2 linked regions of the Coturnix japonica genome follow. The protein of the gene in region 1 purifies or fractionates together with the protein of each later gene. This does not show direct contact. Links are inferred from orthologs where the notes say so. Each region holds a gene or a part of one and is shown in the gene's direction. Other genes may lie near its edges.

What was found.
Region 2: the proteins of AP1M1 (region 1) and ATG9A purify together in Homo sapiens (affinity purification with western blotting, with the first as the bait; 3 studies listed by BioGRID). This does not show direct contact. The link is inferred for Coturnix japonica from reciprocal best matches to the Homo sapiens genes AP1M1 and ATG9A.

The regions. Positions count from the first base shown.
Region 1 is NC_029543.1:3,458,799-3,473,532, reverse strand, and holds AP1M1 (AP-1 complex subunit mu-1), read left to right. Parts: upstream 1-1,825; 5' UTR 1,826-1,889; coding exon 1,890-1,931; intron 1,932-2,480; coding exon 2,481-2,637; intron 2,638-2,879; coding exon 2,880-2,947; intron 2,948-3,523; coding exon 3,524-3,654; intron 3,655-3,884; coding exon 3,885-4,032; intron 4,033-4,453; coding exon 4,454-4,580; intron 4,581-4,937; coding exon 4,938-5,080; intron 5,081-5,823; coding exon 5,824-5,895; intron 5,896-6,168; coding exon 6,169-6,327; intron 6,328-6,758; coding exon 6,759-6,884; intron 6,885-7,536; coding exon 7,537-7,612; intron 7,613-8,220; coding exon 8,221-8,243; 3' UTR 8,244-10,293; downstream 10,294-14,734. Other genes in the region: protein FAM32A, read left to right, coding at 492-568, 640-778, 857-910, 1,009-1,077. UniProt on the Homo sapiens protein: Subunit of clathrin-associated adaptor protein complex 1 that plays a role in protein sorting in the trans-Golgi network (TGN) and endosomes.
Region 2 is NC_029522.1:24,497,051-24,512,831, reverse strand, and holds ATG9A (autophagy-related protein 9A), read left to right. Parts: upstream 1-7,080; 5' UTR 7,081-7,147; coding exon 7,148-7,250; intron 7,251-7,357; coding exon 7,358-7,401; intron 7,402-7,895; coding exon 7,896-7,960; intron 7,961-8,226; coding exon 8,227-8,388; intron 8,389-8,485; coding exon 8,486-8,627; intron 8,628-9,595; coding exon 9,596-10,344; intron 10,345-10,733; coding exon 10,734-10,887; intron 10,888-11,068; coding exon 11,069-11,248; intron 11,249-11,872; coding exon 11,873-12,118; intron 12,119-12,414; coding exon 12,415-12,635; intron 12,636-12,734; coding exon 12,735-12,852; intron 12,853-13,004; coding exon 13,005-13,224; intron 13,225-13,364; coding exon 13,365-13,507; intron 13,508-13,615; coding exon 13,616-13,621; 3' UTR 13,622-15,613; downstream 15,614-15,781. Other genes in the region: GLB1L (beta-galactosidase-1-like protein), read left to right, coding at 1-44, 277-408, 780-995, 1,082-1,300; ANKZF1 (ankyrin repeat and zinc finger domain-containing protein 1), read right to left, coding at 1,866-1,986, 2,125-2,195, 2,288-2,455, 2,584-2,695, 3,014-3,287, 3,941-4,060, 4,138-4,296, 4,477-4,617 and 7 more. UniProt on the Homo sapiens protein: Phospholipid scramblase involved in autophagy by mediating autophagosomal membrane expansion. Cycles between the preautophagosomal structure/phagophore assembly site (PAS) and the cytoplasmic vesicle pool and supplies membrane for the growing autophagosome.

The DNA.
Region 1 (14,734 bases):
TTTCGCTACAACACACACTGCATTGCTCACTAATGTCAGTATTGGCTTTTCTTGGGGCAATACCTGTAAAGTCCTCTTAGCCCCTCTATCTCTCCATTAACACACATTATCTCTAGTTAATGTCCATTAGTGTGACAAGCATGCATATATACAGGTCCATATGTGGCTTTTACACTGAAAATACAAGAGATTGCATTGTTTATACATGAAAACAGAACCGTGAGTTAAACGTGAAACACAAGGGTAGGGTGTGGAACTAACAGCAGCACCACAGGAGCCGCACAGCTTCACTCACCCTTAAGGTGCCTTAAAACAAGCGGCAGCGATTCAGATTCGGTCGGTTCGGAGTGGAACACCGTGGGTTGGGCTCGAGGTTCGGGTTGTGGCCGGGCACTTCGGGGCCGCTCGGGTTGTAACGGCTTTTACCTCAGCGCCCTGTGGCGGGAACGGCGCTGCCGCCAGGGGTCGCTGTGGCGCTGGGCGGCCGAGCGATGGCGGACTACGAGGCGGTGCAGCGCGGGCCGCTGCGGCTGAAGGGCGGCGGAGCGGGGCTGGGGGCCGGCAAACGGTGAGCGGCAGGGAGAGGGGGGAACCGGGAGCCGGGCCGGGGGCTGGGAGCTGAGCGGCGTCTGTCCGCAGGAAGAAGAAGAAAGCGAAGGACAAGGCCAAGATCCTGGAGCAGATCGTGAGCAGCAAGAAGCAGGAAGAGGAGAAGAAGCGCGGCCTGGATAAGCGGACCCCGGCGCAAGTGGCCTACGAGAAGATGCAGGAGAAGCGGGTAGGGCCGCACTGCCCCCGGGACGTGGGGCGGGTCGGAACCCCACGGCAATAACTGTGATCTTGTGTCTTCTTCCAGCAAATGGAGAGGATCCTGAAGAAGGCCTCGAAAACACACAAACAGAGAGTTGAGGTGAGTGGAAGTACCATCAGCTGGGCAGCGCTGTGGGGAGGGCTGCGCGATGGTGAATGCTCCAATTCTGAGCGCTCTGTTCCTTTGCTGCCCCTCAGGATTTCAACAGGCACCTGGACACTCTGACGGAGCACTACGACATCCCCAAAGTCAGCTGGACCAAGTGAACGGGCGGCGTTTCGGGGCCTCGGGTCAGGAGTTGTGCTCACACCAAACAGGGCTGCCGTGTAAACCTCCGTATTCATGATACTGAATATTTCATATGTCTTCGGAACATTTATCACCTTGTACTGCCGTATTTCAGTTTCAAAATACTCAACAAAACCTCTTCTTTGGCTGTTGACTTATGGGGTGTTTTTCAGTGCTCAAAGCTGAACCCAATTGCTGTGAGACAACAGGAGAATGTTCCTTTATTTGTCCTATGCCAGCAGCTCTTAGAAGAAGCAGTCTGTGGCAGCATTACATTGTATGAGCTGCTCTTATCAGTGGCAGAACTGTGTAATTCCTATATAAAATCTCTGAGTTGGGGCAGTGGTGTCTGCTGTATTCTACAATCCTTATGTCTTTACTGTAACTTATTAAAAAGCTCCTTTTATCCATTATTTCGGTGCTCCTTTCCCTGCAGTGAGGGTGGTGTGCTGCATGCAGTCTGTATGGCTGCATTTACAGCTCTCACAGGTGATGTGAATCACATCCCAGACCCTCACACACTAATTCAACCCAAGCGTTTTCCCTCTGGTACCGCTGACCCGTCCCGGGGCTCCTCAGCCTTCCTAACTGCGGACTTCAGCCGGCCGCGCACTACTTAACGTCAGCAATCGGTGCCTTAAGTGCTGTTCCGCTGCCGGCGGATCACTGCGCGTATCCCTCCGCGCGGCCGGACCTTGTGCAGCCGCTTCCTACCGGAAGTGGCGGGCGGAAGCGGAAGTCGCTGTGACTGTGATCGGGCGCGGCGGGCGCGGCGGCCCCGGGCGGCGCGATGTCGGCCAGCGCCGTGTACGTGCTGGACCTGAAGGGAAAGGTGAGGCCGCGCTGCGGCTGTGGGCGCCCTTCACCCCGAGCTGCCGAGAGCGTCGGGCCCGTCCTGGGCTCGGCGGGGCCCGGCACCGTGGGGCTCTCTCGGCCTCGCTGCCCTGCGGCCGCCGCTTCCCCTTCCCGCTCGCTGTTTGCCCCGAGCTGTGGGGCGGTCCCGCCTTGTCCGAGTCGGGGAGCGGCCCTGCCTGCACAGCCCCGAGCATCACAACTGCGGTCAGTAATATCAGCCCTAATGGGAGGAGGCTTGTCCCAGGAGAGCGGTGTGTTTTTCCATCTCAAAAGTTATTATTATTAGGGTGTGCGTAGCTGTGTGAGGAATAACACTAGGAGATACGACTGCGTAGCTTGGGGATTTGCGTTCAAATTGCAACATATAATGGCACTTTGGTTTGCGTTTGTAGTATGTATAGACCATTGATTAAAGCTTGATATGTGGGTTTTTCAGTTAAGAGGTATTTTAACTATCCCCTGTGCTGGTCTGGCATGGTAACGTCATCTCTCAAAGGAAAAGTGTAAGGAATTGTTCTTTCCGTAGGTTCTCATCTGTCGAAATTACCGTGGGGATGTGGACATGTCAGAAGTGGAGCATTTTATGCCAATCCTTATGGAAAAGGAAGAAGAGGGAACGCTTTCTCCTATTCTAGCACATGGAGGAGTTCGTTTCATGTGGATTAAACATAACAACCTCTATCGTATCCTTTGTGCTGCAGGCAACCTACGTGTGAATCATTGAATGAATCATAGAATGACTTGGGTTGAAGGTACCTCAAAGATCTTTCAGTTCCAACCCTGCTGCCTCAGCCATGGCTGCCACAAACTAAATCAGGCACCAGATCAGGCTGCCCCTTTTACAATGCTTTTAAAAGCACACTCAGTAAAATGCTTTTCATCACACCATGACTTTGAATGCGTGTTCCTGAACATCCTTTATTAGTTGTTGCAACTTCTAAGAAGAATGCTTGTGTATCACTGGTGTTTTCATTTTTATATAAAGTAGTTCAGGTGAGTAGGAAGTTTTGGATTTATTTCCCATCTATTTTTCAGTGTGATCTAATAAAAATGCATAGAGCTTTCACTTTTTTTTTTAAATAGAATCTATACTATTTTTCCTTTATATTTGATTATTTGATAGAAATGTCTTCCTAACCACTAAGAATGGAATTGATATCTTATAACTGAGTAGGCAAAGGATGTGACACAATGCTGTGAGTAGTTGCACATGACCCGAGAACACAGAGGAAAACACTGATGTATGAATAGTGCCATATATAGGTGCTGTGTTGGGTTAATTTGGAACTGGCATCACAACTGTTTTTCCCAGCATAAATATTTTTTGTAATGATCAGACTTATTTCTTGGTCTCTTTAACCCCCTTTTAATTGAGGTGAGTTTCCTGCTGCTAATCTGGACAGAATGTTTTTAGGAATTATGAGTTTTGTTTTGGTGATTTATTTATTTTTTCCTTTTTTTCTTCCAAACTCTTGTTAGTTATAGGAATACATTCAGAATATGCTGTAGTTCCTCAGCTCATGTCCTTCTTTTTTTCCTTCCCTCTCGTTCTTTTTTTTGTTGTTTCAGGTTTTTTCTGAATATTTCAAGGAGTTGGAAGAAGAGAGCATTAGAGATAATTTTGTTATTATTTATGAGTTGTTAGATGAGCTTATGGATTTTGGTTACCCACAAACCACTGATAGTAAAATTTTACAAGAGTAAGTATCAGTCTTTATTGCTCATATTTGTAAAGTCCTTGGGAAAGTCTTTGTATTTTGCATGCAAACAAATGTTTTGGGTTCCTCCTCTAGTTATCAAAATATTTAATACTTGATAAAGTATTATAATATCCAACTTATTTATTGATGATGTGTATCTGATATAAAAGACACTTCAGATTTTTCAGAGTATAATTTGTATTTTTTGTTCTAATTCTGTGCTTATAAAGGTACATCACTCAGGAAGGTCACAAACTTGAAACTGGAGCTCCACGTCCACCTGCCACTGTTACAAATGCTGTTTCATGGAGATCAGAAGGGATAAAATATAGGAAGAATGAAGTGTTCCTGGATGTTATAGAGTCTGTTAACCTTTTGGTGGGTACCTTTTACTTGAACTTTTAATGAGAATTATTAGTAGAAGTCTTGAGAAGAACTTACTGTCTGAAAACATATTATATATTATATATTAAAAAATCAGCCTAACCATGATTAGTGTGCTGGGATGCTGTCTGTCATTGAAACTGACAATCTGTAATGACAGCCAGAGATAAATAATCATTTACTGGAACTTGTGCTCTGTGCCCAGTAGTCCCAGAGTTGGTTTCCAATGTGTCCTTCCTTTCTCTTTCAGTCTATTCCCACTTTGTCCTTAGTCTGATTGTACTGTGTTGGATTGGTTGCTCGGAAGAAAAGCATCCACGGAGACCCGGGGCTTGAGGATGGGGTGGGATTGCTGTTTGATCTCATATCATATTGTGTTAGGGCAACCTTTATCTTTCTTTTCATTACCCTTCAGGTTAGTGCCAATGGAAATGTATTACGGAGTGAAATAGTTGGATCCATTAAAATGAGAGTCTTTCTCTCAGGAATGCCAGAGCTCCGCCTTGGTTTAAATGACAAAGTTCTCTTTGATAACACAGGCCGTGAGTATTTCAGCAATATCTTTTGAAATTGTGATGGGTGTTCTCTGCAAGATTTGGTGAGGTTCAAGTGAAAACATAGATTTTGTGATGAAAACACTTGTTTAATCAATGTAGAAAACCAGGTTAGGTCTTGTGTGGCAATACCAAGAGAAGATGGGATACCACAGTGAACATGGTAACCATCTGGGCTTCATTGCCTCTTCTGCTGGGACTTTTGGAGTCTTAGAAAAAATACTGGGCTAAACCCAGGTGTGAAGGATATCAGCAGGCATCTGCTTTGCTATATAATGCTCTGATGTGACTTCAGATGCAATGGGAGCAGTGATTTGAAATCTTGGCATGTGTGTTTTCTGATAGGTGGCAAAAGTAAATCAGTAGAACTGGAAGACGTGAAGTTCCATCAGTGTGTTCGTCTCTCTCGCTTTGAAAATGACAGGACGATTTCTTTCATCCCACCTGATGGAGAGTTTGAACTCATGTCCTATCGCCTCAATACCCACGTAAGTCTGGATGTTTGGGTCTGAACCATAGCAGTTTTTTATGAGAATAATCTAGCCTGTAGGTAGAATTGCTGATGACTTTCCCGTGATGTGTTTTGTTTTTTCTTTAAGTATGGGCAGCATAGTAGTTGTGAAGTCAACCATTAGTAGTAACGCTTTGTGCTTGCTGTTTTTGGAGGAAGTAAGAATGAGGTTAGGAATAACTTGGCAGTAAGTCTCTTATCTTTTCAACTTCTATTGAAACTATTTTCAAAGCATGAATTAGTTCATTTTTAAGCTAACAATGCTATAAAATTATTGTGGCAATTTATTGTGCTTGACAGTGTTAATTTGTTAGCTGAATATTTCTTGGAGTATGTTAACATACCATATTCCTGGCTCCTCAAGGTAGCAGCTGCTGTATAAGTTAACATTCTTTTTGAAAAGAAAATATTTAGCAAAGAGGAAATATTTAATTGTCAGCTGTGACAGGAGACCAGCAAAACAGTTACAGAAAACAAAACAAAAAGACCTGCACATACGTGGAGATGTGTTTGACAACTGAAGATGTTAGGAACTAATCTGAGAAATACTTCTTTCTTTTTTTTCCCCCCCTCGATGCCTGCCATTTTTTAGCCACATTTTGCTTGTATGTCAGTGCTTACTTACAGAATTAATGTATTCAGTGTAGATTTGTGAGGAAATTACAATTTTGTGCACATGCCAAAGTAAAATCTACAGTTGTAAAATATCTTTCCCATCAGGTAAAGCCACTGATCTGGATTGAGTCTGTGATTGAAAAACATTCCCACAGCCGCATCGAGTACATGATCAAGGTCAGAAGTACTAAAATTATTATGGCTGGTTTGTCTTTTGTTTGTTCTCAGTGCTTGACCAGCAGAGTGCATTCCTGCTTACACAAACACCTACTATTTCCCTGGGATTTGTGTCTTTTTAGTGAAGTTCATTTGTGTTAATGTTCTGTATTGTGCTGTTTCTCAGTAGATTGTGGTAGAGGGAAATTATCTCACAGCTCTCTGAATTTACATGTGTAGTGTATGTGCTTAGAGATGTGATTTTTTTAATTTTTTTTTCTCACTTTTCTTTAGGCAAAAAGTCAGTTTAAACGTAGATCGACTGCCAACAATGTGGAGATTCACATTCCAGTTCCAAATGATGCGGATTCGCCAAAGTTTAAAACCACTGTTGGAAGTGTCAAATGGGTTCCAGAGAACAGTGAAATTGTCTGGTCCATCAAGTCTTTTCCAGTAAGTGCTATTTTTAGTCTTCTCACCCAATAGTACAATAATTACTTAAAGTTAATGGTTTATGACTCAGCCTAAGGCAAATTCTAAAAGCATCAAATGCTCCATAGTGATAGTACAGCTACCGTGCTATGTGATGAAAATGGTCAGAAAGAAAGCCAAACTTCTAATGTTCTCGTTGAGGATAAGACCAGAGGAAGATGAATTATGCCTCAAACTGGTCTTAAGTTGATCTATATTTAAAAGCAACAAAACAAACAAAAACCAAACACCACTATTTTTAAATAAAAACAAGTACTTCCTTCTTAGCCCTAGAAAAGAATCTGAAGTAATAAATGCAGTTCATCAATTTGATATTCTGCATAGAAAATCACTTGTATTGTTGGAAGCTTTTCTTGTTTCAAGAAAAAAAAAAATTGTTCTTTTTTTGTAAGGGTGGAAAAGAATATCTGATGAGGGCTCACTTTGGACTTCCAAGTGTTGAAGCTGAAGACAAGGAAGGGAAACCTCCCATTAGTGTCAAATTTGAGATTCCATATTTCACCACTTCAGGAATCCAGGTTGGTAGTTGAAAACAGAAATACAGAAGGAGGCTGTGTGCTAGGCTCCTGACACACAAGCTGATGCAGCCCAGCTTTGTAGCTTTGTCTGCCTTGTTCCTTGGTTTGGTGTAATTTTTGCTGTGTAATTGTTCCATGGTTTGGTGTCATTTTGCTGTTGTTTTTGTCCTGCTTTTCCTGGCTGTCACTGTCTCATTCACAAACATCTTCCTGCCCTTCACTTTGAAGTACCAAAAGTGTTTCTTTATTACTGAGGCAAGTCTGATTTTTTTGTTTGTTTGTTTGTTTTATTTTATTTTTTATTTTTCCCGGCTTTAAGGGAATCTTGTAAAGAGAATGATAGGACTGGCTGCATTATTTCATATGGAAAGCACACTGTTAATGCAAGTGACGACAGTTTATGTTTACATCTAAAGTTTTGCACATCTGGATAATTTCTGTTATTATTATCCATAGAATATACCATATATATCCATATATCTATCTATATCTATCTATCAATACCATATATATCCATATATCTATCATCAGCGATGATCTATATCCATAGATCATCGCTGCCCACCCAATCATCCCTGATTTCATTTTATTTTTTGCTAAACAATGCTTGGCTGACACGGGAGATTCATATTTAACTTTTCTTTCTTCCCAGGTTCGATACTTAAAGATAATTGAGAAGAGTGGCTATCAGGCTCTCCCATGGGTTCGTTACATTACCCAGAATGGAGGTAAATTGAAAGCAATGAACTATAAACATAATCTCTGTCTTAATGTATTTTAATTCTCCAGCATACACCAACAAATTGAAGATATGAGCAAACTGTTCTTGTGTTTCAGTATTAAACACTGCAGTATATGTACATGACATTAATGCTTGCTGATTTTTCTAGTCTTTTTTTTTCTTACTCAACTATCTTATTGAAATGCTCATTTAGACAGCACTGTTGTTCACTGAATGTGACTTTCATTATGAAATACTTAAATCTGGGGAGAAATATGAATTAAAAGAGAACTGATTCGTACATATCATTTTGCTGGCTTTGGGCTGGCTGAGATACTGTCTGCTAAGAACCACCAAGTCTGCTAAAGGAAAAGAAAAAACAAACCAATTCTGCTGCTTTTCATTATTACTTGTTTTGCTATTCAGACTGCTTTTGCTGTTCCTGGCTTGGAAGCTTGTAATTATCTTAATTGCTTTAAAGCCCATGTTCTTGGTTATTCTACATCAAGATCTGATCATTTCTGATCATTTCATCCCAGTTTGCTCTTGTGTGTTACTGAGATTAGTGAAAGGCAGTGTACTAAAACTGGTTTTATTTTTGTTATTCCTTTACAGACTACCAGCTTCGAACACAGTAAGACACCTTGCAGGCACCACAGATGACAACACTTCAGGCCTAGGATTTGTTTGCAGAAGCTTCTGTGGTACTGAGAGCTGTGAATGTTGTTGCCAAGGGTCTTGTCTCTGCAAACTTGGATTGGGCGAGAGAAAGATGGGAAATTTACCATTTTCAATAATGTGTTTGAGCATTTGAACCATTAGTATTGATTGTGTGAATATTTATTTCATTCTTAGAACATGCTGATCTTGCTGCTAAAAGCTAATTACATTAGTAGTAGCCGTTACCTTGAGGAGCCAGGAATACAGAATGAACCTTGAGAATGTCTTGTCAATGCCTTGTCCATTGTATTCACAGTTTTTAGTGTTTGTATTTTAGGATCTTTAAAGACTTTACCTGACAAAACAGGGAGACAATTGTGCAATTACCTGACTGCTTAACAGTGAGTTGTATTTAGCCCAAGGTATTTATTATTGTTGTTCCGGGCATATGGGTGCCTTAACTCATTCAGAGCTCTGTTAACTTAAGACATTTTACAAAATCTGAGCTGAAATTATCAGGAGTCCAAAAATACACTTTGCTCTTCTTTACATGGTGTCAAACCAATTCATCTGACAGAACAAGCTGTGGGCTTGTGTATAAATAAGTAGGTGTGTTGGAGGCCAAGGTGTCTGAGAACAAAAGATTGTGGGAAGTGTCTGTGAGAACATCTCTGGGGAAGCATGATGATTGCTAGTTCACGTGAGCTGAGGTGCACACTGAAGAGTTTCAACCCTGTTATACTCCTTGGGTGTGAAAACCCTACGCCAATTAACTAGCATGTGCTTTTTCTTTATTTCTATTTGTAATACAAATATAAAACTATAAAGTGTAAGTCTTTAATTTAAAAAAAAAAAAAAAAAGACTGATTTTGGCAGCCATAAATCTGGTGGGAAGGCTTTATAATTTTCTTTATTATTATTACCCTTCCTGGATAAGTGATATAATCCTGCCTATTCTTGACAGTTGATTGTTGTTTACAGAGAAGCTGATGGAAATATCATTTCTGTTTTTCAGGCTTGCTGCCTTCTTCATTTAGGGCAAATCTCTTTTTTTTTGCTGTAACTTGCTAGAATTGCTTAACTTTATTTGCCCTGAAGAGGTTGCTGTCGTAGTCTCCTCCATTTGTAAGCAATTATTCTTAGAACTCTCTGGCAGAATGGACAACAGGTGAGGATGTTATATGTAAAGGTATTATTTTTTTTTACATGCTGTTTCATTTTTCTGAGAAGCTGAGGTTCATTTGGATGTACATACTTTGATTTCAGAAAAAGAAGTTAACAGCTATCAGTATTTTCTTTGAACAGGTTTTGGAATGGTTTGGTTTCTATTTAGTACTCGAGGCAGATGCTAAATTTAAGCCATTCAAAGCTAAAGATGTGGTGCATATACTGTGTGCAAGGTTCTCCACACTACCTTCTTGACGGTTCTTGACTCTCTCACAAGGTTGAAAAGATATTGTCCCCACTGAATCCTTGTAGACTGTCTATCTACCTTTGTATACAATGTGTATGATTAGTAAAATGAATAAATCATCTGAGTTCCACTGAAAGGCAGCTGCTGTAGTGCTACAGAAAGATCAGCCTCAGAAGTGACTGATGGCTGCAGGCCCTGTGCAGCAGCAAGGCAATGAGCTGGCTGGGCTGCGCTCGGCGTGGATGTGTATTTTCTGGGGTGGGATGACTGTCACCCCAACAAGCTGGATGTCGAAACAAATCATCTTGTTCGAAGTTTTGGTTCCACTGCTCATTTTCATTTGAACCATTGAGCTTATGACTGGATTAAACATTTTATATTAAAACTGTAACTGGTTGACAAATCACTTTTCCTGGTGGCTCCATTCTTCACAATGTTTATTCTGATTATTTGCCTGTAAAATGTGACTCTCAAAAGCTCCATTTGTTTTCCTGTTGAAGGATGTATCTTGCAGCCCAGTGTTTTTCTTATATTTTGCAGCAGTTTGAGTTGGCTTTGATGGTGAGGTATCGGCCCTATTGGTCCGGGAACTAATAAAGGACAAGAAAACTTAATTGCACATCACTCCCTCTTTTTTTTTCCCACTTTGATCTACAGTAATATGCAGCCTCTAATCCTGGTGTGCCTTCAGTTAGTCCAACACGAGGCCTGGGTAAGTGGAACTGAGCTTCACAGAAGTTCCTGATTTGTTTTTTAAATACAGAGAAATTTTGCTGTGCTTTCACTCTCTGCAGAATTGTGCACCATAGAAACAGTGTTCATGAACAGCTAATACTGTAGAAAGGGGGGAGGGGAACAAAGAAAACAATAAAAAATGAAAACCAACTTCGTTATTAAGATGTGGGGTCCCAGCATGCATAGAAAGGCAGAAATAGAGGCATGAATTCTTGTTCAAGGAGTAACTTCTAATTGGTAAAGTAGTTTCGTTCTTAGAGCAGCTGCTAACTTTGTTATCGTGGTGGCTTCTGCTCTCTACCTGATGTGGGGAAAATGTAAATTTGATGGTCTGCCAACGTTACACACAACTGCCTGATATAGAATGCTCTGTGAAGGCGATTTGCATGATTCTGCTTACACGGTGAGATATCGCCTCGGTGTCCTCAGCTCGGGGTGATTTTGTCACTGTCTAACCTGGAAGGTTGAACTCCTTAAGGGGCTCTGAAAACAAATCTGTTCGTAGTACAAAGCCACCAGTGTGGAGATGTTCTTTGCAGTCTGGGTTTTGCAGTGCACTGTGAAGTAGGTTGTTTTTTGTCAGTAAGATGAAGTGTGTTTTCCCTACTCTATCCTTAGCACGGGACAGCTCAGAGTGCTTCAAGGGTTATGAAGCCTTTTCCTCCTGCAAGGCATACAAAGCTGCAACTTCATCTGCCTGCTATTTAATTGATAAACAGTTATTTAGCAGCGCATCGAGGTCTGTCAGCAGCACTTCCCCACTGGACTCGGTAGGTGTCTCACTTCTGCAGCAGTCTGTATGTGTATCCACTGTCTCAGAAGAGGATCCAGCAGCCCGCTGTGGTTCGGTGGTTTGTTTCTAAACGCCGGTGCTGCCAGTAGGTGGCATTCTGAGCACACAGCGTGTTCTGAGCCATCGCTTTCCAGTAATGATCAGAAACAGACGCAGTGAAACGGTGTGTGCTGATGTATGCTTTGAGTCGGAAGGTATAACTATATTAAAGAAACAAACCCACACTGCAGCATGGTGGGGTTGTTTTGGGTGGTTTTTTGTGTTTGTTTTGTTTTCTGAATTTCAGCAACTTCAGTTTGTCTGTTTTCACATTGTCATTTCTTTCTGTTGCTCCCACGTGCCCAATGCTACCACCCAGCGCCGAGGGCAGCAGCACGATGGGTGCTGCAGAAGAGCTGCTTGGTGCTGTGTGCCACTGTTGGACTGCAGCACTGCTGCAGAGGAGCTCAGTGGTCTGAGGTTCCACCTCTGTGTGCTCACAGCTTCAGGAATCAGCAGCTGCTCCGTGAGCCCCTCTGTAAAGTGCAAAGCAGCATCTTCTATTCACTTGATTCCCCCCACACCCAGAGAAAACAGAGTTCTGTTGTAGTGAAAGAAGCCGCAGCCTATCTATCTCCCTGACAAACAGAATAGCACTGCTAGAAAAGCTTTATTCCCCCTCAGTATTTTAGGTGGGGTTCTGTCGCTGTTTCTCTCCTGCATGTTTCTACCCCTCCTTCCTTGCTGCTACCCCTTTTTGCCTCTGCTGTTCCTTTCATGTACTTCCTGCCCCTGATCTGCGCTGACCTTGTCAATAAAACCTTCTGACAAAGAGATAATGGGGCTTTACCCATGGTGGGTTTGCTCAGGCTGAGGGATTGCACCTGCTTATTTCTGACTTCAGAGTCCGTGATGAGAAATGGGCTAAACCTTGGCACCTCTGTCTCTCCCACATGCCAAATGCAGTGTGTTGCAATCCATTTGCTGTTGTTTTCTCTGTGGTTGACACCCACCGCTGTTTGTCATTGCAGCAGCTGTGGCATGACGAGGGGTGATGGCCTCAGTGCTGAGGGACAGCAAGGGCGATCTTAATTGCAGCGGTAATTAATTATACAGCAGCTTTGTTTGCGCTACGGAATGGATGGTTGTAACACTTCTTCCAATGAATTCTGTGTAATGCAGAGTGTTACACAGGTCATGCACAGATGAACCCGTTTCTCCTGTAGCTGGGGTGTGTTGCCATGACTCGGTTGTGGAAGCAGAGTCTGCGTCAACCAAACTACCTGTACCTGGGAGGCTCCCTGCTGCAGTCACCTCACTGTTATCAGTCTGAAGGGTAAAGTCTTTGTGCACCAATGTGTTTCTGCTCTCCCTGGGTCTGTGTGTGGCTGTGGGCCTCTCCCCCAAGGGCAGCCTTTGGGTTGCATTGTCCTGCGTTCCCTGTACCCAGCTCATAAACAGAACAACGGGCTGATGGGTTCTTAAAAGACAGGCCTTGTACCACAGTGTGCCTTCTCCCCCCTCCACCTTTGTGGGTGCTGGTAGGCCAGCTGGACCCAAAGCCTTTGTTGATGTGCTCAGTGCCTCCAGGCCCATTGCTTGCCCTAGCAGTTGGTAACGTTGAACTGATGCCTTTCAGTGTCCAAAATATTGTGGACAGGGATGGCAGAAGTCTGCACAGCCCATCGCAGCTCAAACAGCTGAGCAGCAGCACGAGGAGCACAGCTCCCAAAGCAGAGTGCTGGGCTGCAGCCTGTTCTGCAGAACGTTGTGCAAGCTTACTTCAGATCTTGGCTGTGGATTTGTACCTTGGATCAAAGTTTTCTTGCAGGCTCTTCTCCAATATAAAGCAAGGAAACGTAAAACAACAAATATCTGGTGAAATCCAAACACAATCTGCTCTATGTTATGCTACAAAAATGAATGAACTCTGCCTCCCACCCTCTCCCACTGTGACTTGCTGTGAATAAGCGCTGCTCGAAGGAAACCATGGTGAGGGTTCTGCCTCCTTCCAGCAGGAACAGCTGAGAAAGGCTCAGCAATGCTCCTCCAGGTGGGACTGCGGGTTACTGGGGCAGGGGCAGCACAGAGCTAAGCCCAGATACTCAATTATAAGGTTTTAAAAGTAATTAGCTGTAAGACTTTTTAATTCTATCCTTTGTAAGGACACACTGTCCTTTATAAAGACAGAAGATATATTCTATGCACCTCATGTGTATTCAGCTCTCCTTCATATGACACTTTCTCAAGTTGTGCCCATTAAGGTGGGTGTTGCACCATGGATTGCGAAGGACAGACAAATATTTGGGCAGACCAGGCTGAATTTATCAGTTAGGAGCCAGTTAGGGATAACAAATCTTAAAGCCATTGAGTTACAGGTCTGTGTACCCATCCAAGCTGCTTAGACTGGAAGGAAAACTGTGGAGCAGCTCCTCGTGCTTTTTAATCCTAAAACATTAAGAGTCTAAAATGGAAGAGGAGTACATTTAGAACTGATAGAACAAGAGAAATCAGTGTAAAACTGCTCATTCTCACAGTGTTGGTTTGGGAAGGGACACAGTGAAGCACTGCGCTGGGGCAGCAGTGAAGTCCTCTGCTGACAGAGCTGCGCCTTCCAGCCCCCAACCAACCCCAACCACCAGCAAGTGCACGGCCGCAGGACCTGTGTTTATTTTCCTTCTTGCTTATTTATTGAAATAAAAGCACAAGGCAGAGTGCTCTACAATTGTTAAAGTTTCCGAGAGGTCACAAGGGTCCCAGATAACATTAGCAGCTCGATGCGATGTTGTCCTTTTGTGTTATCAACAGGAAACATCTTTACCAGCACAGGAACTACAGCTTTGTAATTGGCCTGGTGCGAGAACATGACAGCGTTTTCTCATCCTATCAGGACTCGGATATTTTGGGAGCTGGTATATAAGGCGCACAGCACACAGTGTCTCTTGGACATTAGGAACAGGTTCATGTGAGAAATCAGTGTGCTTTGCTATTTTAGTAGTTGCTATAGTTGCAGCATAAATGATTTTTTTTTTCTGGCCCAGCACGGTTCAGGGCAAATCTTCTTTATAGTTTGTATGTATATTTTTATTATTTGAGCACAGATGGATGTATTTAAAGTAATTAACATAGTGATACAGGTCTAGTAAAGAAGCCTTTAGCAAATAAAAAGCAAAGCCCTATATCGTATAAATGGAGGCCTTGGTGAGCTTTTGTTAAATGCTCACAGACTTCTATGGTGTGGGACTGAGCTCCATCCAAGCCCATTTCAGATTCCTCCAGATGATAAAAGTGCTCTGGTTGGTCTCTGTAATAAGAAGCACTCATTGCGCCGAGCGATCTGTGTTGAAAGGAATGGCCCTTGTGGCAAAGAGTCCCATAACTCTCCGATGAGTGCGAGATCAGAGTCAGCAGCACTTAATGGAGCTGTGAAGAGCTGAGCGGGAAGGTGGCCAATAGCCCAATTAATATTCTATAAAGAATTACAGCACTCCGATGACAGCAAACCTCATTTGGACCACGTGACAAAGCTGCAGTGTTTTTTCCATAGC
Region 2 (15,781 bases), on another chromosome or scaffold:
CTCCCCATAGCATCTGTGATCGTGGCTACGTGATGCTGCAGAAGGTGAGAGAGCAAAGGTGCCTGCCTCCTGGGAGAGATGTGCTGTGATAGGGGCTTGGGGCAGCATGCTGCCTGAAAGCCTCATTGAGGGCACTCTGCTGGCCCATTTGTGTACCCTCTGGTGTAGAGAAGGCAGTGGGATGCTACACTAGCAGGCTGCTCATAGTGCTTATGGTAGTGAGACCAGAGCACGGGACTGGGATGCAGTGGGGCAGCACTGACCCTATGGCTGCAGGAATACCAGGGAACGCTGGAGCGGGACGGTCAGACAGAGCTGCGTGTGAAAGGCAAGGCAGGGGACATGCTGGATGTGCTCCTGGAGAACATGGGCAGGATCAGCTTCGGGGCAAACTTCAGTGACTTCAAGGTGAGGAGAGAGGGCCTCAGGGCTGCTCCATGTGAATGAGGTGGGTACACGTGGCCAAACACCCCCTCCTGCCCTCAGCCATGGTGAGAACAGCTCAAATCCTGCTACCTGGTTGATCCCACACCATCCTGTCCTTTTTCCCCACACACCCATTGGCACAGCCCTGGGCAGGTGGCAAACCCTTTGGGATAAAGCAGTGGGATTGACATCCCCCTTTCCTGCTGCTGTGGCAGCCAAGACTGTGCAGCCTGACTGATGGGATCCACTGCTAGGGGGGAGATATGTGCTGGGGAAGCCAAGCAGGGCTGTGTAGCATCTTTCTGCATAGGGCAGACCCTGCTTCCCCATCTTTTTCTTCTGCTCCACTTCAGGGCTTGCTGGGGAACCTCTCTTTGGACTCCCGACCGCTCAGCAACTGGCTCATCTACCCCTTAACTATTGATGCTGCCATTCACCAGGGCTGGCCCCATGCTGCCCAAACTAAATCAAGCAGTAGAAGCAGAGCAGGGCCAGCCTTCTATGCAGGGACCTTTGAGACCCCTGGCATTGCTTGGGACACCTTTGTGAAATTCCCAGGTTGGAGCAAGGTAAGACTGCTTAGAAGAGGGGATAAGGGTGTTAGAAGAGGGAATAAGGGTGGAGAGCACGGCTCAGTCTCATCTCCTTCTCCCAGGGCCAGCTGTGGATAAATGGCTTCAACTTGGGCCGATACTGGCCCCAGCAAGGACCCCAGCAAACCCTCTTTGTGCCTGGCTCAATACTGCGTGTTGGCTGCCCCAACAACATCACAGTGCTGGAGCTGGAGGGGGCACCCCCCAACCCCTCCCTGCTCTTCCTTGACCAACCCCTTTTCAATAGAACCATCAACCATAGGCTCCTGGACAAAGAATAAACACGGGGCTGCCAGGCACTGTCACTGCCTCTCACTGTGCCTGCAGGGATTGCGGGGTGGTGGTGGTGAAACACTGTGGGTCTAGTTGGTACTTAGGAAAAGGCACCCTTATACACCTAAGGGGTTGAACGCAACTCTTTATTAACAATGCAGGCAGAGGAGGTAGTTGTTAACATGATATGGCTGAGACTCAGTGGCTTCCAGAAGGAAGGACAATATACAGGTGAGAAGGTACCTGCAGGCATAGGGGCTCAAGGCTGCAGAGTTTGTACCAATCAGGATCTGTACTACCACCCCAAGCAGCAGCCTGCAAGGTACCCAGCAGAAAAGCAGGCAGTAGGACTTCCTAGCTGGAACCAGTCCTGGTCTTTTGCACTAACATGTGCAGGCCTTGCTTGTTACTACCTTGAGTCACACTCATGCTGCAGCTTCTCAGTCTTGTGAAAACTGCTGCAGAGAGTGATGTGACCAGCTCAGTCCCTCTTACCAGCATTACTCTACAGCCAGTGCTCAGCCATGTCTCCACCATGTGGGTCCCTGGCTGCCATGATGGCAGCCCCCACCCTTATGTGTGGTTGGCCCGGGCCCGGCGGTGGGTTTGCAGGCAGGCCGTGGAGCAGAAAGAGAAATCAAGGTAATGGAATGGGATCCGGCCCAGCAGGGACTCTCCACAGTACCAGCAGCGGCTGCAGGGAAAGAGCAGAAGTGGCCTTGAATGGACACATTCATATAATAGAATCATAGTGTCACAGGTTAACCATCTGTGGTTGTTAAGCTTATCCTGGACCATCATGTGCAGAGCTGGCTGCCTACAAGCTGCCTACCTGATGTTGGAAAGAGCTGTACTGCCATTCTTCATCTGTTCAGACAGCCTCCGCTCAGCAGCTAGGGCCCTCTGGGGAGCAGAGAGATAGGTCAGCCCCCAAGGCTTGCTGAGCCAGAGCCCACTGCATCAGGTTGGTTCCTCTCCCCTGTGCGAGGCCTTACCTTTTCCCTATCAGACAGGGCTGCAAACTGCTGCTTCTCTTCCTTCTCCTGCTCCAAGCGCTGCTGTTCCTCCCGCTGTGCCTGTTCCCGTTGCTTCCGCTGGGCTTTCTGTGCCCGCTTTTTCTCCATCTTTTTGGCTTCCATCTCCGTAGTCAGGGGGCCAGGTACCTGGGGCAGCGTAGGCAGGGGGCAGTCAGTCAGCATCTCCCTCAGAGAAAGAGGCAAAGGCACGAGGAGGTGAGAGCAGGATGCTGGGGTGTGGCTGAAGGCCATTTTGCTCAGGGGCAGGTGCCCACCTTGGCACGACTGTAGTCGTACTTGTCTGGGTGGTCCACCATGAATTTGCGGAAGGCATTGCGTGTTGGTTTGTCAGCAGAGATGCAGTAAGGGGTCTTCTCCTGCCTGTCTCTGCAAGATGAGAAACAGCAGCTCAGCCCTATGGTATTACTGCTGGTTTCTCATTGGGCTGTGATATAGAACAATCTAGGGTATTGGAGCCAAGGAGGGTAAGGTTGAATACCCCCACACCATGATTCCCCAAATCCTCTCCTTGCATTTCTAAAGGTAAATCTCACCCCAAACATAGAGATAAAACCAGCAGTCCTGACCAACCCCAGCTTGTCCCCCAGGACAAGGCTGGCATCAGCCTCACGTAACTGCAACAGGAGAGAGTTGCTGGACTCCCACAGCAGTGGCCATCAACTGTATGATGCCTTGTGGCCATACCTGAGTGCAGGGTCAGCCCCTGCTTCCAGCAGCAGGCACACAGCTTCAGCCCTCCCTGCACGTGCAGCCACATGAAGCAGGGTAAAGCCACATTCATCTACAGGCTGGTTGAGCAGGGAGTGGGGCAGACCCAGGGGTTGTTCATCATCCCCATCCTTGCTGTCCCCCACTGGGCCCCTGTTCTCTGGTACACCCAGGAGGTGCCTCAGTGTCCCCACATCCCCCATCTTGCAGGCTGTGAACAGGGCATCACGGAGCTGGGTCTGGGGGTCTCCTGTGAGAGAAGAACAGGAGGAGAAATCTGATGCTACAGGGCCATTTAGTCCAGGAAACCAACACGTTGCTGTTAAAGCATTGTCCTGCTAGCTGCATATGAGTATGTAGCAGAAATGCTAAGTCATGGCCTGAAGCAGTGATTGAACACCTGGTAGGAAGGCAGGGCCAACCCAGAGGAGCTCAGGTGCATGCAATGCATTGAGTGACAGGAAGGGAGCCAGGATCCACCCCTTCCCAGACCTCATTTAAGGGCTGGCAGTGGAGGTGAGGGCATCTCTTGCTGGAGATCCCTGCGTATCTGAGGCCTTCCAAAGGTAAGCAGCTCTTTTCTTTCATTTCTGTATCCATGGTTGCTGCATTTGGGCTCATTCTCATTTGCTGCAGCCAAAGATTTTGCCACCCCAATATTATTGTGGTACCGTTGTAACAGAGATCTCTGCTGCTCTCTAATCTCATCTATTCAGGTGGAAACACTATGGTTTGGTTACTGTTCTGTGAGCACTGCATGTCTGAAGGCATGTGGCTACTTTACAGCCACCCTGGCACTCAACTGCTCCAAGTACCTGCACAACAACTTGCTCTTCACCCCACTGCAAAGTATGCAGCATACAGGGCAGGTGCTCACCTAGCCAGGCTCCCAACTCCACTCACCTTCAGTCTCCCAGGGAAGGGGCTCAGCTCCAGGCTTCCCCTGCAGCTCTGTAACCAGCTCCAGGCTGGGCTGCCCTCCCTGGGTTCCACAGCATCCTGTCCCTTCAGCATGGAGCCCTGCTGTGAGAGCGAATGGTAAGGAAGCCCAGCCAGCCCCTGAGGCATGGCAGACCCTTCCCCCGTGCCTTCCCCCTCACCATTCTCCATCTTTTTATTCCTTTTCTTCCGCCTTTTGCGGTTTCTCTTGGGCACCACTTCAAACTCCCGGAGGTCCAAGGTCCCTATTGTTACTTCCACAGTTTCCAGTTCCCCTGCTGGACTCTCTTCCTCCTCTTCTTCCTCTTCCTCCCCTGGGGCTGATGAGAGTGAAAGGACAGGACAACCCCATATGCAGCATGAATTATCTGGGGCTTTCAGATAAGCACACCTTCCCCTTCCACCCAGCAGGAAGCCTTTTTCAGCAGATTCCCCTCTGTGGTGTCTTGCCCTGTTACAGGGCTGAAAATCTCATTAAAAAAAACAGACCACCTCCCCACCTTGCTCTGAGCCATGTCTCCCTCCATGTTTGAATTCACCACCTGTGTCCATCTGCAGGGAATCCATCTCAGCCGCCCGCTGTTTCTTCTGCCAGACTTTCCGTGGGGACCCAGTGATGTCCTCCAGTGGCGTGTCCTTCCCTAGACAGCAAGGGTGTCATTGCCCAGAGATGGGGTGCACCTCATGCCCCAAAGGGATGGAGAGCAGGAGAACCACTAGATGTGCCCAGCACTCCAGGGTCCCATGAGGGACCGTACAACCTCACCTGCACTGACCGCAGGTGTTGGGGCACCAGGGCCAGGCCAACTCACCAAACACCTGCAGGCTGGACAGCACAGCATGGACTCGCAGCACCTCCTTCAGGGTGGCCCTGCGTGTGCTGAGAGGGATGTGGCAGACACGGGGGTCTCCCCTACTGAGGTGGGGGTTCTTGCTATCAAAGAGCAGCGCCCGGTTGTGACGAGGGGCTCGGAGAAAGATGCGCTGAGCTTCCTTCAGGTGCTGCGCCCAAGTTGCCAAGAGGTTCTGAATATCCTGGAGAAGAAAGGAAGGCTCTATGGAGTCCTGAGTGGGCACCAGCAGCTCTGGAACAGGCAGATTCAAGAAATGGCAGCCTCAATTGGATCCTGACCCAGTTCTGGAGCTCATAGTCCACATATGAACTCCAACAGCAGCACGGCACCATTGCACAGAGCTGGTTGCCAACCACATTTCCCTACTGAAAGCTCAAGCCTGTGGTCCATTCTCACCTTGAGCAGTGCAGCTTCATTGTAACGCCGCAGGGAGGCTCCTGCTGATCTGGGTGCTGACCCTGGGGTCTGGGCATCCCTTAGGCTCTGGGCTGTGCCCCTCCGGGCTCGCACAGTGTAGCGGTGGAAGGTCTTGTGTTCCTGCACCTGGGGGCTACAGAGAAGGGAAGGGCCCATCCAACAGCTGGCCACACTTGTCCCTGCCCACAGAGACAACCTCAGCCTTGTGCCTTTGTACTCACCCACGGAACACGGCTCCTGCAAAGTGCCCGCCACCCATCATCAGTACAACCCAGCATGTGTTTGCATTGAGGCTCTGCAGTGACGCTATCAGCTCTGCTGGCTCCTCGCTGCCGCCCTGAGACACAAACACTCCTGCTCACATCTATGGGATCATCCCATTACTCCTCGCTGTCCCCAAGACAAAGGCCATTCCCTCTGCTGGCACATGCACAGTCCTAGTCATGCTGCTGGGGGCATCTCAGCTGCAGCGAACCTGAGGCACCAGACTTCTCCCTTCCCTTCAAGGGGCCCCAGGGACTTCCAGGCAGATGTCTGTACCACAGTGCCACCCCTCTTCTCTGGGGCCCATTCTTCTACAAGCTGGTCTGTGACTTGCCTTCCCAGTGCTCAGTATGCAGCGATAGGCAGAGATGAGCTGTCCCCTTGCATTGCGGAGCAGCACCTTGTGGGAGCGGGGATGCTGGGGGGTGGCAGGGCTGTTGCTGGCAGGGGGAGGTGATTCTGACTCGCTGCTTGCATCGGAGCTCTCTGAATCTGACCCTGAGATGCTGGAAATATCACCTGCAGCAAAGAGAAAATGGAGCAATGGAGGAAGACAAAGATAAATAGAAAGTTTGCAGGTGGTTCCGGGGACCAGCCCACAGCCCTGATGGATCAGACAGATGAAAAAGACTGTGAACATGTACAGGCACCTGGAGGCTTCACTCCCAGACAGAACAGCAAAGTCACCATTAGTCTGGGCCCTGCTGAAGCAGCCCCATTCCTCACCTGCTCTGCTCTTCTCCTCAAATTCTTCCACTGGCAGCGCCCGGCGGCCTCGGAGTCGCTGCTTCAGGTTGAAGCGGTGCCAGTCAAGTCGGTAGTGCTCAGTCTGTGAAGGGAAGAGTGAGCCAAGCAAGGTGCTGGTGCTTGACAGAAGCCACAGCTACCAAAGGCCCCACGGTGACAGAGTCCAGCAGCCATAACAACCCTGTGGCTGCAGTGATCCCGGGCAGGCAATCACTGTGTATCATGGAGTCCCTGTATATCGCCCAGCAGCCATAACATCCCGCTCACCTGCTCCTCCCGGCTGCCGAACTGCTGCCCGCAGGTGAAGCAGCACATCCGCTCCGGCACCTCGGGGGCTGTGCCGGCCTTGTCCGCTGCGTGGGGGGCTGCGGGCTGCCCTGCAAGGAGAAGGAGAGGACGGGACTGTGCAGCCACACAGGGCAGCAGAGGAGCCCCACACAGGCACAACAAGGCAACAGAGGGAGCCCAGGGGACCCTCGGGCCATAGGGCGAGGCCTGCCCCTCACACAGAGCACAACGCACCGTGTGTGTCCGCAGCCGACGGACTGGCATTGAACCCGCTGACGAGGGTCAGCCCGTGCAGGAGGGCGGGGTCCAGCGCGGCCTGGAACACCGACGTGCTCTGTGTGGCCGCCATGGCCCCGCTCAGTTCCCAGCACACCCCGGAGCCGCCATGGCCGCCGGGCTGCACCGGAAGTGCAGGCCGCATTCACGGCGCTCTCCCTACGGGTCGCCGCGAGGCTCATCCCACCTACCCTCCCTCCCGCTCTCCGATTGGCCCGGCGCGGACCCGCCCCTCGATCTCCATTGGGCGGCGCGGCTGCCAGTCGCGCTGTGGGGGCGGGGCCGGGCCCGGGGCTCGGTCCGGCTGTGGCGGCGGGTCCCGGCCATGGCCCAGCTGGAGACGCAGTACCAGCGGCTGGAGAGCTCGTCCACAGAGTCACCGCCCGGCGGCGGAGACCTGCTCGTGCACGTCCCGGAGGGAGCGAAGTGTGAGCACGGGGAGCGGGACGGGGCGGCGGGACGGGCTGCGGCCCGGGCTGTGGGATATGGGCTGTGTGTGGGGCTATGGTGGTGACGCTGCCTCTCCTCCCCGCAGCTCCGTGGCACCACATCGAGAACCTGGACCTGTTCTTCTCTCGGATATCCTGACACCTGTGTGGGGATGGGGGACACGGGGGGCTGGCACTGAGGGGGCAATGGGACGGCGGCCGTGCTGTGCTGTGTCAGAGTGAAGCAGTCCCACAACTGTTACACAATCACAGAATGACCCGGGTTGGAAGGGACCTCAAGGATCATGTAGTTCCAACCCCCCTGCCTGGCAGGGCCACCAAACATACACCTTTACTAGATCAGGTTGCCCATGGCCCCGTCCAACCTGGTCTTGAACACCTCCAAGGACGGGGCATCCACAACCTCCCTGGGCAGCCTGTTCCAGTTCCTAACCTCTCTCCTAGTGAAGAACTTCCCCCTAACATCCAACCTAAATCTTCCCTCTTTTAACTTAAAACCGTTTCCCCTAGTCCTGCTATTATCAGCCCTATCCAAGAGTTTACTCCCCTCCTGGGAGTAAGTTCCCTTCAGGTATTGAAAGGCTGCAGTGAGGTCACGCTGTTCTCCTTGACTGTCGCCTTCACGTGTATAACTTGCATCAGAAGAATGGCTTCACCTGCATGCTCATCGGGGAGATCTTCGAGCTCATGTGAGTGAGGGCTGCCCTCGTGTTGGGGCTGCAACAGTGGCCGGGGAGCAGCTATGGGAGGCTGCCAAGCTCCTGCAGTTGAGAGGGTTCCTGTTACGATCCTCCTGTCAACCCAGTCCTGTGGTTCATCCTGTGTAACTGGTGCCCTTGATCTTCCTGCTGCCTGGCTGCATCTTCAACCCCCGTGTGCCCCTGTGCTCATGCCTGCTTCCCATTAGCAGGAGGCAGAAGGCTGCTCCCCTCATTATTTCTCTCTTTCTTCGCAGGCAGTTCATCTTCGTGGTGGCCTTTACCACCTTTCTCATTAGCTGCGTTGATTACGATATTCTTTTTGCCAACAAAGCGGTAAATCACAGCCAGCATCCCAGCGAGCCTATTAAAGTGACTCTACCAGATGCTTTCCTGCCTCCAAATGTCTGCAGTGCGAGGTAGGGGCAGCCAAGGCACTGCTGGTGCTCTCTCAGGGGCTGGTAACTCTTGCCCAGGGATCATCTCCCACTACTTCTGCCACCTTCTTTCTTGCAGAATCCAGGCGAACAGCTTCCTCATCTGCATCCTGGTGATCGCTGGAGTTTTCTGGATCCACAGGCTTGTCAAATTTATCTACAACATTTGCTGCTATTGGGAGATTCACTCTTTCTACATCAACGCCCTCAGGATCCCCATGGTAAGTAGGTGGGACAAGGGCTACATGTGGTACAGGATATGGGAGGCATTTGCTGTGCAGTGAGAAGCAGCTCACCTTCATTCCTCTGGAGCCAGCTTCTCCAAGAGACTTGCACTGAATGCTCAGTCCTCTGCTTCAGCTTTTCCCTGCATGGTTTTCCTTTCAGCTCCTTCTCCAGCAGCCAACTTGCTGCTTGTTACCCACCCTGCCCAGCCTGCCTCTCTCTGTGCTGGCACACGCATCTGCCATCTGCTGCTCCATATGTTTAGTCTTCTGTGGTGGCCTTTTTTGTGACAATTTTCAACATAGAAGGCATAAGTGAGGGTATTCTTGGACTTCCCTGGGAAGCAGACAGTATCGACTTCCTTGTTTACAGATTGGAAAGATGAGGCGTGGAGCTGTATAGTTGTTGAAGATCACACCGTTGATGAGTGTGGCAAAGCTGGGCTCTGAGGCTTGTGCATGCATCCTAGTCCTGAGTCCTTGCTCTGATGGACAGCACCAAAGGGTGTTTGTGTGTATTTGGACTAGAGGCTGTGTCTTGAGAGAGATGGGATGAGCCAAGAGGTTTGGTTTATCCCCAGCTTTCCCACAGGCTGCCTTTGGGGCTTTGGTTATGTTCCCATCCCCTATTCCTGCCTCCCTGCTGACTCCAAAGAGCAGGACTGTGAGCTCTGGGAGGGAGGACCCATGCCAGGCTGCACCTGCATTTGTGTCTAATGCACTGGCGTGTGAGTGGCTGGGAAACAGCCACCTATGCTATTCGAGGGGTAAAGGGCACTAGGGCATGGTTTGAGGCTTGCTGGGATGACTCAGGCTGAAGCAGTGCAGGAAGAGATGCCTGTTGCTGTGGTGTTGCTTGTGGCTCGTACACACCCCGAGGTGTGTATTGGTCCTGCTGTTGGAACGGGCTCAGCCCAGCCTCCATCCCTGGAGCCTGCCCCTAACCTCACTGCTTTCCCTTCCAGTCCAACCTGCCCTACTACACCTGGCAGGAGGTACAGGCCCGCATCGTGCAGATCCAGAAAGAGCACCAGATCTGTATCCACAAGAAGGAGCTGACAGAGCTGGATATCTACCACCGCATCCTCCGCTTCAAGAACTACATGGTGGCCATGGTGAACAAGTCACTGCTGCCCATCCGCTTCCGCCTGCCCCTGCTGGGAGACACTGTCTTCTACACGCGAGGGCTTAAGTATAACTTTGAGCTCATCTTCTTCTGGGGGCCTGGCTCACTCTTTGAGAATGAGTGGAGCCTGAAGGCTGAATACAAGCGGGCTGGGAACCGTCTGGAGCTGGCTGAGAAGCTCAGCACTCGCATCCTTTGGATTGGCATCGCCAACTTCCTCCTCTGTCCTCTCATCCTCATCTGGCAAATCCTCTACGCCTTCTTCAGCTACACAGAGATCCTGAAGAGGGAACCGGGCAGCCTGGGTGCCCGCTGCTGGTCTCTGTATGGCCGCTGTTACCTCCGTCACTTCAACGAGCTAGACCATGAACTGCAGTCACGTCTCAGCAAAGGTTACAAGCCAGCTTCCAAGTATATGAACTGCTTCATCTCCCCACTCCTCACTATTGTGGCCAAGAACGTGGCCTTCTTTGCTGGCTCCATCCTGGCAGTGCTCATCGCTCTCACCATCTATGATGAGGACGTGCTGGCGGTTGAACACGTCCTGACCACAGTCACCCTTCTTGGGGTGGGCATCACAGTGTGCAGGTAAGGAGGATCCATGCTGGACAGGGCTGGATGCTGCTTGCAGTATGGTAGGGGAGCAGTGAGGTTGATATTCTTCATTTGAGTGCATTCTTAGGTTACAAGTGGACGTGAATCTGTGTGAGTGAAGGGCACGGCTGGGGCGAGTCAGGGCAGGGCAGGCAGGAGAGGGGGCCAGTGCTGAACTTGGGCACAGTGGCTATGATGACGGCTTCAGTGTTGATATGATGGAAGTTGCTGGAGCCATACAACAACATCCCTGTGCTGGGCTGGCAGGAGGGTTTGGGTTGGAGTGAAGGCCACAGGTGAAGCTGTAATATGTGTCAGTCTCCCGTCATCCCTGGTTGAAATCTTCTAGGAATACTATGACGTTTCCCTATCTTACCCCTCAGGTCTTTCATCCCCGACCAGCACCTGGTGTTTTGCCCTGAGCAGCTGCTGCGAGTCATCCTGGCACACATCCACTACATGCCTGACCACTGGCAGGGCAATGCCCACCGCTATGAGACGAGGGACGAGTTTGCCCAGCTCTTCCAGTATAAAGCGGTGAGCCTGGCTTGCAGGGGGGTGGGATGGACACCCTCTCCCATCTCTGCATAGGCAGAGGAACAAGGTGGTTTTCCCAGTCACCGTGCTGCAGAAGGCAGCCTGGAGCTGGGGGTTGGCTTTGGGGCTGGCAAGTTTCATGACATCCTCACCCATATGCTGAACTCATCTTTATCCTCAGGTCTTCATCCTGGAGGAGCTTCTGAGTCCCATCATTACCCCCCTGATCCTCATCATCTGCCTGCGGCCCAAATCCTTGGACATCGTTGACTTTTTCCGCAACTTCACGGTGGAGGTGGTGGGGGTGGGTGACACCTGCTCCTTTGCCCAGATGGATGTGCGCCAGCATGGCCACCCTGCGGTAGGTCCTGAGGGGGTTGTTTTCATACCAGGACTCTCTCAGGAGGCATGAATGGGGGTGTTTGGATATCTAGGAAGTCTGACTTATAATAACTGATTGTAAAAGCTGGGCTGCTTTAATCCAGGAGAGAGGCAGCCTACTGGTTGGGGATGAGGTACATATTCCCTTTTACAAAGTCTGCTCTGGAGAGAAAGAAAATGAGTCTGTTTCTTGTGCCTGGAAATTTATGTTACTAATCAGGAAAGAGTTTCTAGTGACAGGGCCATGAAACCAGTAGGGGATGGATGCACTGTGGCAGACAACTTGCAAAAACAGCCATTTGTTGGCTATAGTTGCTCCTGCTTTGGGTTGGACAGCACAAAACAAAGCTTTCACCTCTGTGACTGGCCTTCACCTCTCTAGTTCCCTTCCAGCAATGCATATTTAGGGATGGAGAAGGAAGGTAGGCTGCAAAGGCTGAGCTGGCTATGGGGCTTTTGGTGTAGTGTGTGTCAACTGCTTGGAGCTATGGTCCATCATGCAGGTTGTGTGCTTTGTCCAGTCTAGCTGGCGTTCAGGATTCCTGGGCTTAGCACGGGTGTAAAGCAGATCCCAGTCTTCAGTCTCTCTCTTTGTGCTTCACAGTGGATGTCAGCGGGGAAGACGGAGGCCTCCATTTACCAGCAGGCTGAGGATGGCAAGACGGAGCTGTCCCTCATGCACTTTGCCATCACCAACCCCAAGTGGCAGCCACCCCGTGAGAGCACAGCTTTCATCGGCTTCCTGAAGGAACGGGTGCACCGGGACAGCAGTGTGGCACTGGCCCAGCAGGCTGTGCTCCCCGAAAACGCCCTCTTCAGCTCCATCCAGTCCCTGCAGTCCGAGTCAGAGGTGCCCAAGATGGTGGGGAATGTGGGAAGGTCCTGGAGTGCTGGCAAAGTGTGATAATCAGGCCTTCGGGACAGACTTTGTCCTTATCTGGGCTGTGTCCAGGGGTGCAATATGATGGATCAGCACTCACTGGGACTAATTCTGGCTCTTTAAGGAAGGGCAGCTGGGTTTCCTGTGCCCTGTGAAGTGGGAAAGGGACTAAAGAGAGCTGGGATCCTTCAGTTTTGTCTCAGTGGTGGGGGTTTTGTCTCCAAGTCTGTGCAGGCAGTGATTCTCTTTCTCTTTTGTCTCTGCAGCCTCACAGCCTGATTGCCAATGTGATAGCAGGCTCCTCAGTGCTGGGATTCCACATGGGCCGTGATGGACAGGCCTCTCGTCATCTCTCCGAAGTGGCTTCAGCCCTGCGTTCCTTCTCCCCACTCCAGTCTGCCCAGCAGCCCTCTGGTGGCTTTCAGACAACAGGAAGGGATGGAGAGGGAACCCAGCCTCGTGGTTCCAGTGCCATGACAGCCTCTGGGTAAGAGCATGCGGTGGCCTTCACTGCCTGACCCTAGAGCAGAGAGAGGCTTGGTGGTATCTGCAGCCACATAAACATCACTCTTGTTTCCCATGGCAGTGCTGATGCGAGGACTGTGAGCTCGGGGAGCAGTGCCTGGGAGGGTCAGCTGCAGAGCATGATCCTGTCAGAGTATGCCTCCACTGAGATGAGTCTCCACGCACTCTACATGCATGAGGTGAGTTGAGCTAACCAGAGGGGATGTGGGCCCAGGGCAGGCAGGACTGGAGTGCCCTGCTTTGGGTGGCTTGGATTGGCTGGAAGAGCCTTGCTGGGGAGAGGGTGCATTGGGGCATCTGTAGCTGACCCACCTGTATCTTGGCTGTGCAGTTGCACAAGCAGCATGCCCAGATGGAGCCCGAGCGGCACACCTGGCACCGGCGAGAGAGTGACGAGAGTGGTGAGAGCACCCATGAGGAGCTGGATGCTCAGCGAGGTGCCCCCGTCCCCCTCCCTCGCTCTGCCAGTTACCCCTTCTCATCTCGGCAGCCTGCTGAGGAGACAGCCACGTTGCAGACGGGCTTCCAGCGACGGTATGGCGGCATCACAGGTATGGGAGCCGGAGCAGAGGTCTGAACCTTCTGGTCACAGTCCCGTAACCCTTGTCCTGTAATACTGGCACAAGCAACATGCTTGTCTCTGAAGACTGACAGCCCCCCAGGTAGCTGATCCTCCTTGCCTTTCCTACAGACCCAGGCACAGTGCACAGAGCCCCATCACACTTCTCCCGCCTCCCACTGGGAGGCTGGGCTGAGGATGGGCAGTCAGCGAGACACCCAGAGCCTGTGCCAGAGGAGAGCTCAGAGGATGAGCTTCCACCGCAGATCCACAAGGTAAGGGAGGAGGCTGTGGCAGACAGGGGCAGCAGGTGCTCTGGATGTCAGGCTGCAGACCAGCTGCCAGCAGCCCTTAAATGCTGAAGTCCTGTCTCTGTCTTGCAGGTATAGCCTTGCAGACCGGGGATCTCGTGGGGGTTGCAGACTGGAAGCCACCTGGGCAGCAGGATGTGGTGTCAGCCCAATTCCTCTCCTATCCCGAGGGGATAGGATGGTCATGGGCTCCATTTTGTTGCCATCGATTGCTGATGAGACAAAACTGCCAGGCCAGCAGCTTTGCGGTGGCGCCTTGTGTCCAGCCGTGTGTCAAGCCAACGTCACTCTGACTCTTGTGGGGTGAATGCGTGTGTGAGTACATACATGTGTCTGTGTTCACATCTGTGTCGTCCGTGTCGGAGGATCACTGCAGAGCCGCTGACAGAGCTGTGGATGGGCTTGGAGGTGGCAATGGCAGCTGCTGTTTGAAGGGATGTGACAAGGCAGCAGCTCCAGATGTCCGCCCGGAGCTGGGACCTGCCTTCGAAATGAAAGCAGGGATGGCTGGCAGCAGTGGGAGCTGTCGGAGCTGCCTTGCTCAGTCTGTAGCAGTGCTGGAACCACACCTGCAGCCCTGGGGAAGTGCCCTGCGCCATGTTCCACCTCGTGGAGAGGATCAATGTTGCACACCTCAGTCTGGAACGGGACAGCGGTGGGGCCCACCCCTCTCTGTGCACATGTGTGCTGCCCTGACACCCTGCAGCAGGATGATCCTCAGCTGCTGCTGTGTGTGTAGGGTTGGGAATAGCTCTGCTGCAGCTCCATCCCCAGCTCTCGTGACACCTGCCCTGTCCCAGGCATACAGGAGAGGGGTCCGTGGAGTGGCAGTCCTGGGTCTCTGTCCCTCCCCACTGGCAGCCCCCTGTGCCAGCCCTCTGTCCTGGGCTAGAATAGCACTTCCTGACCTGCATGGTGCTCGGTTGATGGGCTGCTCCCAGGCCCTCTCGCAGTGCCAAAGAGCTGGTGCAGCCTGATGTCCCCTGGGAGTGCACGTAGCCTGCTCGCAGCCCACAGTGAAGGTCTTGTGCTCTGTGCGCTGATTCCCTTCCCCCAGGCATCATAAAGGCCTTTTTCCTATGCCCGGTCTGTGATGCGTCAGGCCTGTTCTGTGATATCAGCCCTTTCCTCCTGCCCTAACAATGGCTTCAGTGTGTCCTGCCTCTCACCCAGGGGCTCCTGGCTCCTTTCCTTCCTTCCTGAAATCTTTTTGCGAGGATTGCTGTGGAGACCATAAGCTGAGCAGCTGCCTCATGTCATGTCATGGAGGGGGCAGGGAAGAAGGGGTACCTTGAACCCTGAAGTGAGAGGCAAACCACAGCCCAACCTTGATGTGATGGAAGGGTGTGAATCAGGATCTTGGCTTTACAGCACGGCCTTGGCCAGCCCTTCGCTCGGATCGTGCTGTTTTCCCTCATCTCTTGCAGTGGCTGCTTGCGAGGACCTACATCTCAGCTGCCCTTGCCCGGCTTTATTCCACCTCCCTGGCTCTTGTTGCCTGCAGGAGAGACTCCTTGCTTTTTCTATGCCCTGCCCTTCCCCTTCCTGGAGCACAGGTGACCTTTCTCTCCCTGCCAGGCTATTGCCCCGTGCCCTTTGTGCCTGGTGCAGCAGCAGGGACAGGAGGGAGGGGATGGCAAGCAGGGCTGGCTCTGCACCTCACATCCGTGGGCTGCCCTGCTGGTTGTAACTGCAGCCGTTCTAACACCCTTTATTTCCCTGCCTCCATGGGAACCGTAAGCGATGGTGATGTCCTTTGTGCTGCCTGGGCTCCCTCTAGGCACAGTGGGCAGTGCTTGGAGCCTGCAATACACAGTGAGGGGGTTTCAGAGGCTGTGCTCTGGAGGGAAGGAGAGCCCTTTTGCTGGGCTAATGGGAAGGACAGGCAGGGCAGGAGTCCTCGCTGCATGTTGTGCTTGTGTCGTCGGTGTCCCCTGTGCATGGCGAGCCGCAATTCTACATCTCCTTCCTGGGTCGGTGGGCCCGGGGCGCCCAGGGGGGGTGGTGCTGCAGCCCCGCGCCCTCACTGTACAGCTGTCTTGCCATCCAATAAAGATGGGCTGTGTCATCTGTCTGCCTATGAGTGTCACAGCGGCGTGGGGGGGCAGCGATGGTGCCGGGCACCCCGGTGCCCGCGGAGCGTGATTGTAAGGCGGTGAGGAGCCAAACCGGCCGGATTTAGGGCTCAATTTACTGGGACCACGCGGGGGGGGGGGCAGAGCCGCCGTGCCGCAGCAG